Linked DNA regions of Coturnix japonica. The protein of the gene in region 2 purifies or fractionates together with the protein of the main gene of each other region. This does not show direct contact. Links are inferred from orthologs where the notes say so. Each region holds a gene or a part of one and is shown on either strand. Other genes may lie near its edges.

Region 1 (4,531 bases), on a different chromosome or scaffold from region 2:
CATTTTACCTCCAAGACCAGCCAGAATGGTGACAAAACACTGGTTAAAAGTTATCTGGAATGTCTGTTGGGAAGTCCCAAGGATCCCAAAGCAGGGCAGATCTAGAAAGGCGCTGAACAAGTCTGTCAATCACATTGATTTAGTTCAGTAAAACTACGCAAGAACCAAGATCAAGTCCCAGCTTTGGACACAAGATAGTAGAGGATGAAGAAAACAACAACCAGTCCTACAGAAACAAAGCAGAGTAACTTGCGGTTCTCCCTCCCAGAGCGTGTCATGGTGCTGAATCGCTTCATGCTGCCGGTCAGCAGCCCAGTAGCACTCAGAAAATCCGAATCCTAGAGGAGAAACAAAGTGCAAAAAGCAGCATTTCAAACTGGAGAGGCAGCCCATGAGGAGGGTCCAGCTTCCTGCTTAAAGAACAACTGCAGCAGCTGCGCTGTAACTGCCTGTATCTCTGTACCTATCGTGTCTCTCTTATGAGGAACTTCCCTGCCTGCGCTCGTGGCAAAGGCACAGGTAAATACTGCATACCAAGTATCTCTACATAAAGCTAGCACCGTTAATGCCTGCCAGGGCAGGCTAAAAAGCACCAAAACCACGCAGTTTCTTTCCATTAGTTCTCTTTTTTTTCTTTCAGCATGGGGCAGCATACACTTGTAACACCACCAGGTGGCAGCAAACAAGTCTTAAAGCAATTCATTATCATTTCGACTCCACGTCTGTTTTCCTTTCTCATAAACTACCTCCCACTTTTTGCTCACGTTTCTCCTGAAATATCCCTAAATCTTCTCTAATAGAAGCACAATTGCGTGCTGATTCGGGGCTTCTCCTTTAAGATCTCTTGTCTTTACATCTCTCATTCCAACTCTCCACTCTTTTGATTTCTAGGCTGAACAAATATCCAGTTCAGATACTCCAAGGCCATACACTGCTATTAAGGTTCCAAGCTATTAAGCTTCCAAGCTCCCACCTTTGACCAAACTGGTCCCAACATTGAAATTCATGCTTTTTACCCTTCTTTTTTGGTTCCTTACCATGCTATCCAGGTAACGGTTCTGTTCATCAGCATCTTTATCAATATCCAGAGCCAGCTACACAGCATAAGAGAGGAAATTGACGTTAATGAACACCAAGACAACCTGGAACGCATCTAGGCCCACACTAGAGGATGTGGTGGAGGTTTGTTAAGCACAGCCACAAAACAAGGCCTCTCACTCACTGCAGTTTGGGGTTGTGGGAATCCTTTTGCTGTGGAAATAATCTGGGAAAGCTGGCAGAAACTTCCCTATGTTGGACATATGACAACAGCTGACGGACCAGCACTGCCTCCTACTGCTACACGTCAGCCATCGTATGCCCACAGCACTGAGGAAGCCCACACAACTGCGTTGTCCCTGAGACCCTGCAAGCGTCCATAGCAGCGCCAGCAACTCACCGACTTCAGCCTGGTGACTTTGCTGGCCAGGTTGTCTGTCATGCGCTTGTTCTCCACGTCCAGCATATCCTCCATAGCAACCGCATTCTGTCCTGAGGAGAAAAGAAACGCGTCTCATCATCCCGACTGGGGAGCATGGCACATCCCCAAGATGGCGGCGGGGTGCCCCAAGATGGCGGCGGGGCGCCCCCTTTAGCAGCCCCTCAGCGCGCCCCTCACTCCTTCCCCCTCACCTCGCCCCCAGTCCGCCATGGCGGCACACGGCGAAAGGCGGCTCCGCCCGGCAGGAGGAGCTCCGCCTCTGTAAAATGGCCGCTGGGCCTTCGCCTTCCCTGTTGGGTAGTGAGGAGCGGGGAGCTATTACGGGAAGCACCGTGATCTGCTGCGGTAATCCTCGGGTGGGGAGGGGGGGGTGTCCCAGCGCTGTGCTGGGAGGGCATGCATTAAACGTCGGAAAGCAAAGAGGAAAGAAGAGGATTAGAGGGGCAGAGAGGCTGTACGTGGTTCACCCGTCTGCTTTATGGACGCAGCAGTGAGCCGGCTCGCTTGATTTTTGTTTCTTTTTCCCCACCCCCTTTCTCACTGCCTCTCAGTTCTCAAGGATCGAGGTCCCTTTGCACCGCTGTTATCCAGGAGCTCTGGAAGCCTTTCCTCTCTGCTTCCCATCCTGCTGTAGCTGAGCTGTTGGTATCATGGAGCTCAGGACCGTAGTGGCCACGGTGGAAAGCGGGGAGCAAGACGCGGTCCTCAAGGTGCTTCAGATCTACAACCAGGAGGTGAGTGAGCATCACACCTCAGCCTGATGTCACCTGCTGCTGTCAGCAAGCCTGGAAGCAGGTTGGGCCGTGTTATGGGTTCACAGTGCTGCCCAGCTATCCCATCTCCTCTGAGCATCTGTCTCTGCATTATTGCCCTGGAGATGTCATAGACTGCTTTGTTTTGTTACTTGCAAGCTGCTTCTTAATGATGCTTTACTAGGAAGCAGCTAAGAAGCCTCCCTTTATCTTGTTTATGCTGGAAGAAAAGTACATGGGAAGGATTTTCTTTATTATCCAGATTGCAAGTTAAACCCGGTAGGGGAATAATCATGGGCATGAGGAGTAGGAGGAGCCTTGATGCTAGGCAAGGTTTGGAGGTAATAAAACTCACACCTAGGGAGGAGCTGCAGGTAGGATTGTTGTGATTTGTAAGCAAAAGACAATTAGGAGTTGGTGTGAATGGATGCTGGGATTGGATTAGGGTGCCTGATCTGAAAGCTGGCGCATGAAATAATGAGTGTAGAACATGAAAAAGACCGGGTCAGGAAGCTGAAGTGCGAGTGACTCTAACCTTAGATCATCTGCAGGGGTAGTTCCCTTTTGAAACTGTCTGCCAGGGAAATTTCCTTCAGAGGGTTTCCACCAGGCTAGGGCTGGCCCTGCAGATCTGTGACTCATTCTGCACCATTCTGAAGTAGGAGGGAAGCTGGTGGGGAAAACCTGTGCTTATCTTACAAGCATGTGCACTTCCCTTCCTGCACTAACTGTTTCCAGCAGTCGGTTTTGAAACAGCAGGTCCCTTTTAAAAGGTTGGTCTGCAGGATTAGCGTTGCTGGCAGCAGCTGGTGTGCTGGAGAAATTAGGATAGTAAATGGCATTTGTTGTGCAACCGTGTTGAGGCACTAAATCCAATGCTTTGAATTCCTCCAGCTGGTTTCTTTGTCAGCGTGTAGAGCATAGGAAACTTGTGAGGATGTCAGTCATTTTGCTAGCTTGTCTGGGAGAAATGAGCTGAAGAGATTAAACTGATTATAAGCCAACCGACTTCCTTGCATAGTTTTTTTTACTACAAAAGCAGGTGCTGTTATATTCTTCTCTAGGTATATATATATATTTAATTCACTATTAAATATGCAGTCAGTTCCTGGTTGTCGGGAATAGAATACAGCTAAAGCCAAACCCACAGGTGTGTTATGGAAATATTTGTGAATGAGATTACAGGAGCCTGCAAAGAAGCTCTGGAAATGCCTTTGTGCACGAGGTCAGTCTGACTAACGTTCTGACTGACATGAGAAGGTTCACAGATGCAAGGGAAAGCTCCGTTCTGCATAGAGTGGAGCGTTCACCTGTTTTAATTGGCTGTGTGTGAAGAACGTGAGCTGAATAACAGTCCTACTTCAGGATGCTGTAGGAAGAACATAAGGATTTGTTTGCAAGTAGCAAGGAAGTGATGCTTTCTATTAGGAAGGAAAAGAAACAATAACAAAGGGGAGAAGAGCGTACACATAGCTTGGTAGAGTCATTAAGCGTAATCAAGTTTACCCAGGGAAGCTGTGGATACCAGGCCAGGCTGAATGGGGTTTTGGACAACCTGAGCTTGTGGTGTTCATGCCCATGGCAAGGGGTTGGAATTCAGATGATCTTTAAGGTCCCTTAAGACCCAAACTATACTATGAGTTATGGGATATTTGGAATGTATTGAATACCCACCTCACAGCTGCAGTATATAAAATTAAGCTGGTCCATCAGATGGGCACAGCTTTGGCCTGTGACATGTGGTGTCCACCACTGAGCCAGCAGAAGAGAGTATGGGGTGTTCATCGAATGTTTTTCAGGCATGAAAGAGAAGGAAAACAATTCTGACTTGGCAGCATGGGCTGTATCTGGGCTTTTCAAATGAGGTTCGTTCCCTGCTTGTTAAAATGTAGCTGAAGTTGCTGGATACAAACAGTGTTGAACAGAGAAGACAATAATGAAGCAAAGCTCTCAGCAACAGGAAAAACTGTCCTTGTGTCTGGCTCCTACCTATGCTGTTTGTTAAAGAGGTGTGCAGTATTCATAGGTTTTTTAACACTCTTTGCCTCTTTGATTCCCTGTGCTGGTAAAGACTTCTTGAGAAGGCTTACTTGTCTTTATAGAGTGCTTTTCAGAGTTGCTTTCCAAGCTTATTCCCTGTTTGGGAAAGGCAGATTTGTGGATTTTTAAACTCATACTTTCTTTTCTGCTCTACAGAAATCTCAATGCTTTACCTTTGATGATGAGGAACGGGAGGAGAGGAAGGTAGGCGTGCTCTTTGGCTTCTTGTTCTTGTTGTCCTGTAGATGGTGGCTGGGGA
Region 2 (2,770 bases):
CAAACAGTTTCATGCTCTCGTGCATCCGGTTCTGAAAGGCAGAATAAAAGAGGGTGATGCATCAGTGCAGAGGTATTCGGGGAGGAGGGGTGGGGGGCAGACAGGACAAGGAGCACATTACAGCAGCAAGCAGGGCACAGCCTGAGCCCTGTTTCCAGCTCTAGGGCCATTGGACAGACCCTGGGACCCCCCCCCTATATTGTACCATTTCTTCATCCTCGGCCAAGACGAGGTCATAGTCACTCAGGGCCACACAGAAAATGATGGCCGTGACCCCCTCGAAGCAGTGGATCCACTTCTTCCGCTCCGACCGCTGCCCACCCACATCGAACATCCTGCAGAGGCACAGCACACACTGAGAGGCCACACAGAGCTCTGCCCTGACACGGGAGGTGGGGGGGGCTCATGGAAGGGCCTGGTTTGCACTTCAAACCGAGCACACAGCCTGGGAGCAACACAGAGCCCCCCCTCAGGACCCCAGCGGGCTCTGATTCTCTTTGGAGCCATTTGAGCAGAACAAGCCAAGGTTCAGCCATCAGCTGCTGATTCACAAGGGCACGCTTGTTTTGTTCCCTGCCTCCCATTTCCTTAGCAACAATCCAGTTTGCTTGACTGGACTCCAAACACCTACTCACATCAGCTCTTCCAGTTCATTTACACTGAGCCTGACAAAGGTTTATCTGGAGCATGGCTATCTACCTGCACACTGCTGCTAAAAGAAAACCACTGTGAGGTCAAGAAACGCTTTTATGCATGGAAACAAAGAAAGAAAGAAACAAACAGGTGAGCTGCTGCAGCTCAAAGCTCAGTGTAGGAGCTCCTGGCTATGAGAGCACTGCAGTGCAGCACCTCGGCTGATAGCAGCACTGCTCTGCTGAGACACAGGGCTGCCCAGAGCCCTTCAACCCATCGTGTATCCAAGAGGCACAGAAATCATGAGCACGGATTTGTTATCACAGCAAACACGCAGACAAGGGGGGCACTGTGCAGCATGGGCCAAAAGCAACACAACGCGGTGACGTCAAAGCAGAGAGCCGCAAGAGCAGCTCTGCTAACTCCTGTCTTCTATTTAAGGCAAATGCCCGCTGGTTCCCAGAAGGAAAGAGGAAGATCTCTGCCCAGATAGGGGCTATTTGCTCAGCTTCCACCATCCACCGTGGCTGCTGTTAGCACACATGAATCTGGAAGGAAACAGCATCCATCCCTGACAGCTCGGCCTCACACTGATCCACATTCAAGTCACACTTGCACCACATCAGCCCACTGTTATCAGCTGAGCCTTCACAGCAGGGCTCCAGCACAGCAGGATGGCAGCTCTCACACCTCCCTTATAGAGCAAATCCCTCTACAGACACCCCGTGTCTCCAGGAGGGCAGGGAAGGGGCAGCCCCTGTTTGCAGCTGTGATGCTGAAGGGAGCCTGGATCCCCATCCATCACACGCAATGATTTCTAAGAGCAAACTGCAGCTGGAAACACATCGTGATGGAAGACAAACCTTCAGCCATGTAAACAGCTCCACGGTGCAAAGCACTTCTGCTCAAACCATTTGTAAGTTACGACAGAAGCCAGAGCACTACAGTTCTCCTAGAGGGCATGCAAGCAAACCACAATCTATAAGCAACACATGGTTTTTTGCTAGGGCTCTTTCCAAACACAAGCTAAAAGTTAAGCCAATAAATGCTTATTTAGTGGCTTGGAGCAACGACAGCTTGAAAACAGGGCCAGAGGATGAGGGAAACTCGCCCACAACACAACACTGTGTTCTCCTACATCCAGGGGCTGCCTGCTGGGATGGGGACACACAGCACGGAGGGCTAAGTGCTAAGGGCAGGGAGCTCAGCTGCACTCCAACAGCTGCTATGGGGTTAGAGGGAGCTCTGTGGGTCACACTGACAGGGATGCTGGCCAGACATACAGAGGGCCAGGAGTCCCTCACAGCTCTGCTGGATGCGCATGGCAGCACCACGTGCCCAGAGCCAGGGCCTAAGGGACAGCCCTCACCTCCCATGTCAAAGAAAAGGGGGTTACACTCAAACTCAGCAGCCAGGAGTCAGCGCCCTTTTAGTATTAGTTGCTGTTCTGCTCCTGTGAACAAGCACTCAGTACCTGCGTCTGCGAGTCCAACATAAAAGCAGCTGGAAAGAACAGAAGAAGGCAAAGAAAAGTCAAACCAGAGAGCAGTGCTGGCACAGGGGGAGGCGCTTTGCTGGGGGCGTGGAACCTCCCCCCACCCCTCTGAGCACTGAGGAACTCACTGCAGCCCATAGGAGCCTATAGGATCCCATAGGAGCCTATAGGAGCCCATGCTCTTGGCTTACTTGAAGTAGAGGTCCTTGAAGGTGAAGTGTGTCTCCACGATGCCCGTTGTTTTCACCCGGGTGCGCAGCACATCCTGCTGAGTCGGAATGTAGGTCGGCTGGGATATTCTATCCAAGTCGTTCAGGTAACTAAACCAGAAGAGACAACACCGGGGGGGGGGGTGTTTGGTTGGTTCCTTTTTTAGGCCGCGCTCTCGCTATGAATCTTTTATGAACTGCAGGAGAAAGTCATCACTGAATGTATTCAATGCAGACCTCAAACACGCAGCAAATAGACACGAGCTCCCACGGCTCTGCCCTCGGGGGGGTTGTATTAATTCCCCCCCCCCCAACACGACCTTGCAGTGTGTGCTGGGAGCAGTGCTGGGCAGCAGGGCAATGCAGGAGGAGCTGCTGGAGGAGCCGTGCCAAGGCTGTTATCTCTCAGGGCAATGCAAAGCAGTCAAGGTTT

Evidence for each region.
Region 1: the proteins of GNAI3 (region 2) and RIC8A purify together in Homo sapiens (affinity purification with mass spectrometry; 3 studies listed by BioGRID and IntAct, counting the BioPlex papers as one, with this or other methods). This does not show direct contact. The link is inferred for Coturnix japonica from reciprocal best matches to the Homo sapiens genes GNAI3 and RIC8A.

The regions. Positions count from the first base shown.
Region 1 is NC_029520.1:1,400,558-1,405,088, reverse strand, and holds the start of RIC8A (synembryn-A), read left to right. Parts: upstream 1-1,709; 5' UTR 1,710-1,825; intron 1,826-1,843; exon of another isoform or gene 1,844-1,934; intron 1,935-2,031; 5' UTR 2,032-2,130; coding exon 2,131-2,214; intron 2,215-4,428; coding exon 4,429-4,476; intron 4,477-4,531. Other genes in the region: BET1L (BET1-like protein), read right to left, coding at 171-338, 1,038-1,094, 1,439-1,530, 1,672-1,690.
Region 2 is NC_029541.1:1,615,698-1,618,467, reverse strand, and holds part of GNAI3 (guanine nucleotide-binding protein G(i) subunit alpha), read right to left. Parts: intron 2,449-2,770; coding exon 2,320-2,448; intron 336-2,319; coding exon 206-335; intron 32-205; coding exon 1-31. UniProt on the Homo sapiens protein: Heterotrimeric guanine nucleotide-binding proteins (G proteins) function as transducers downstream of G protein-coupled receptors (GPCRs) in numerous signaling cascades.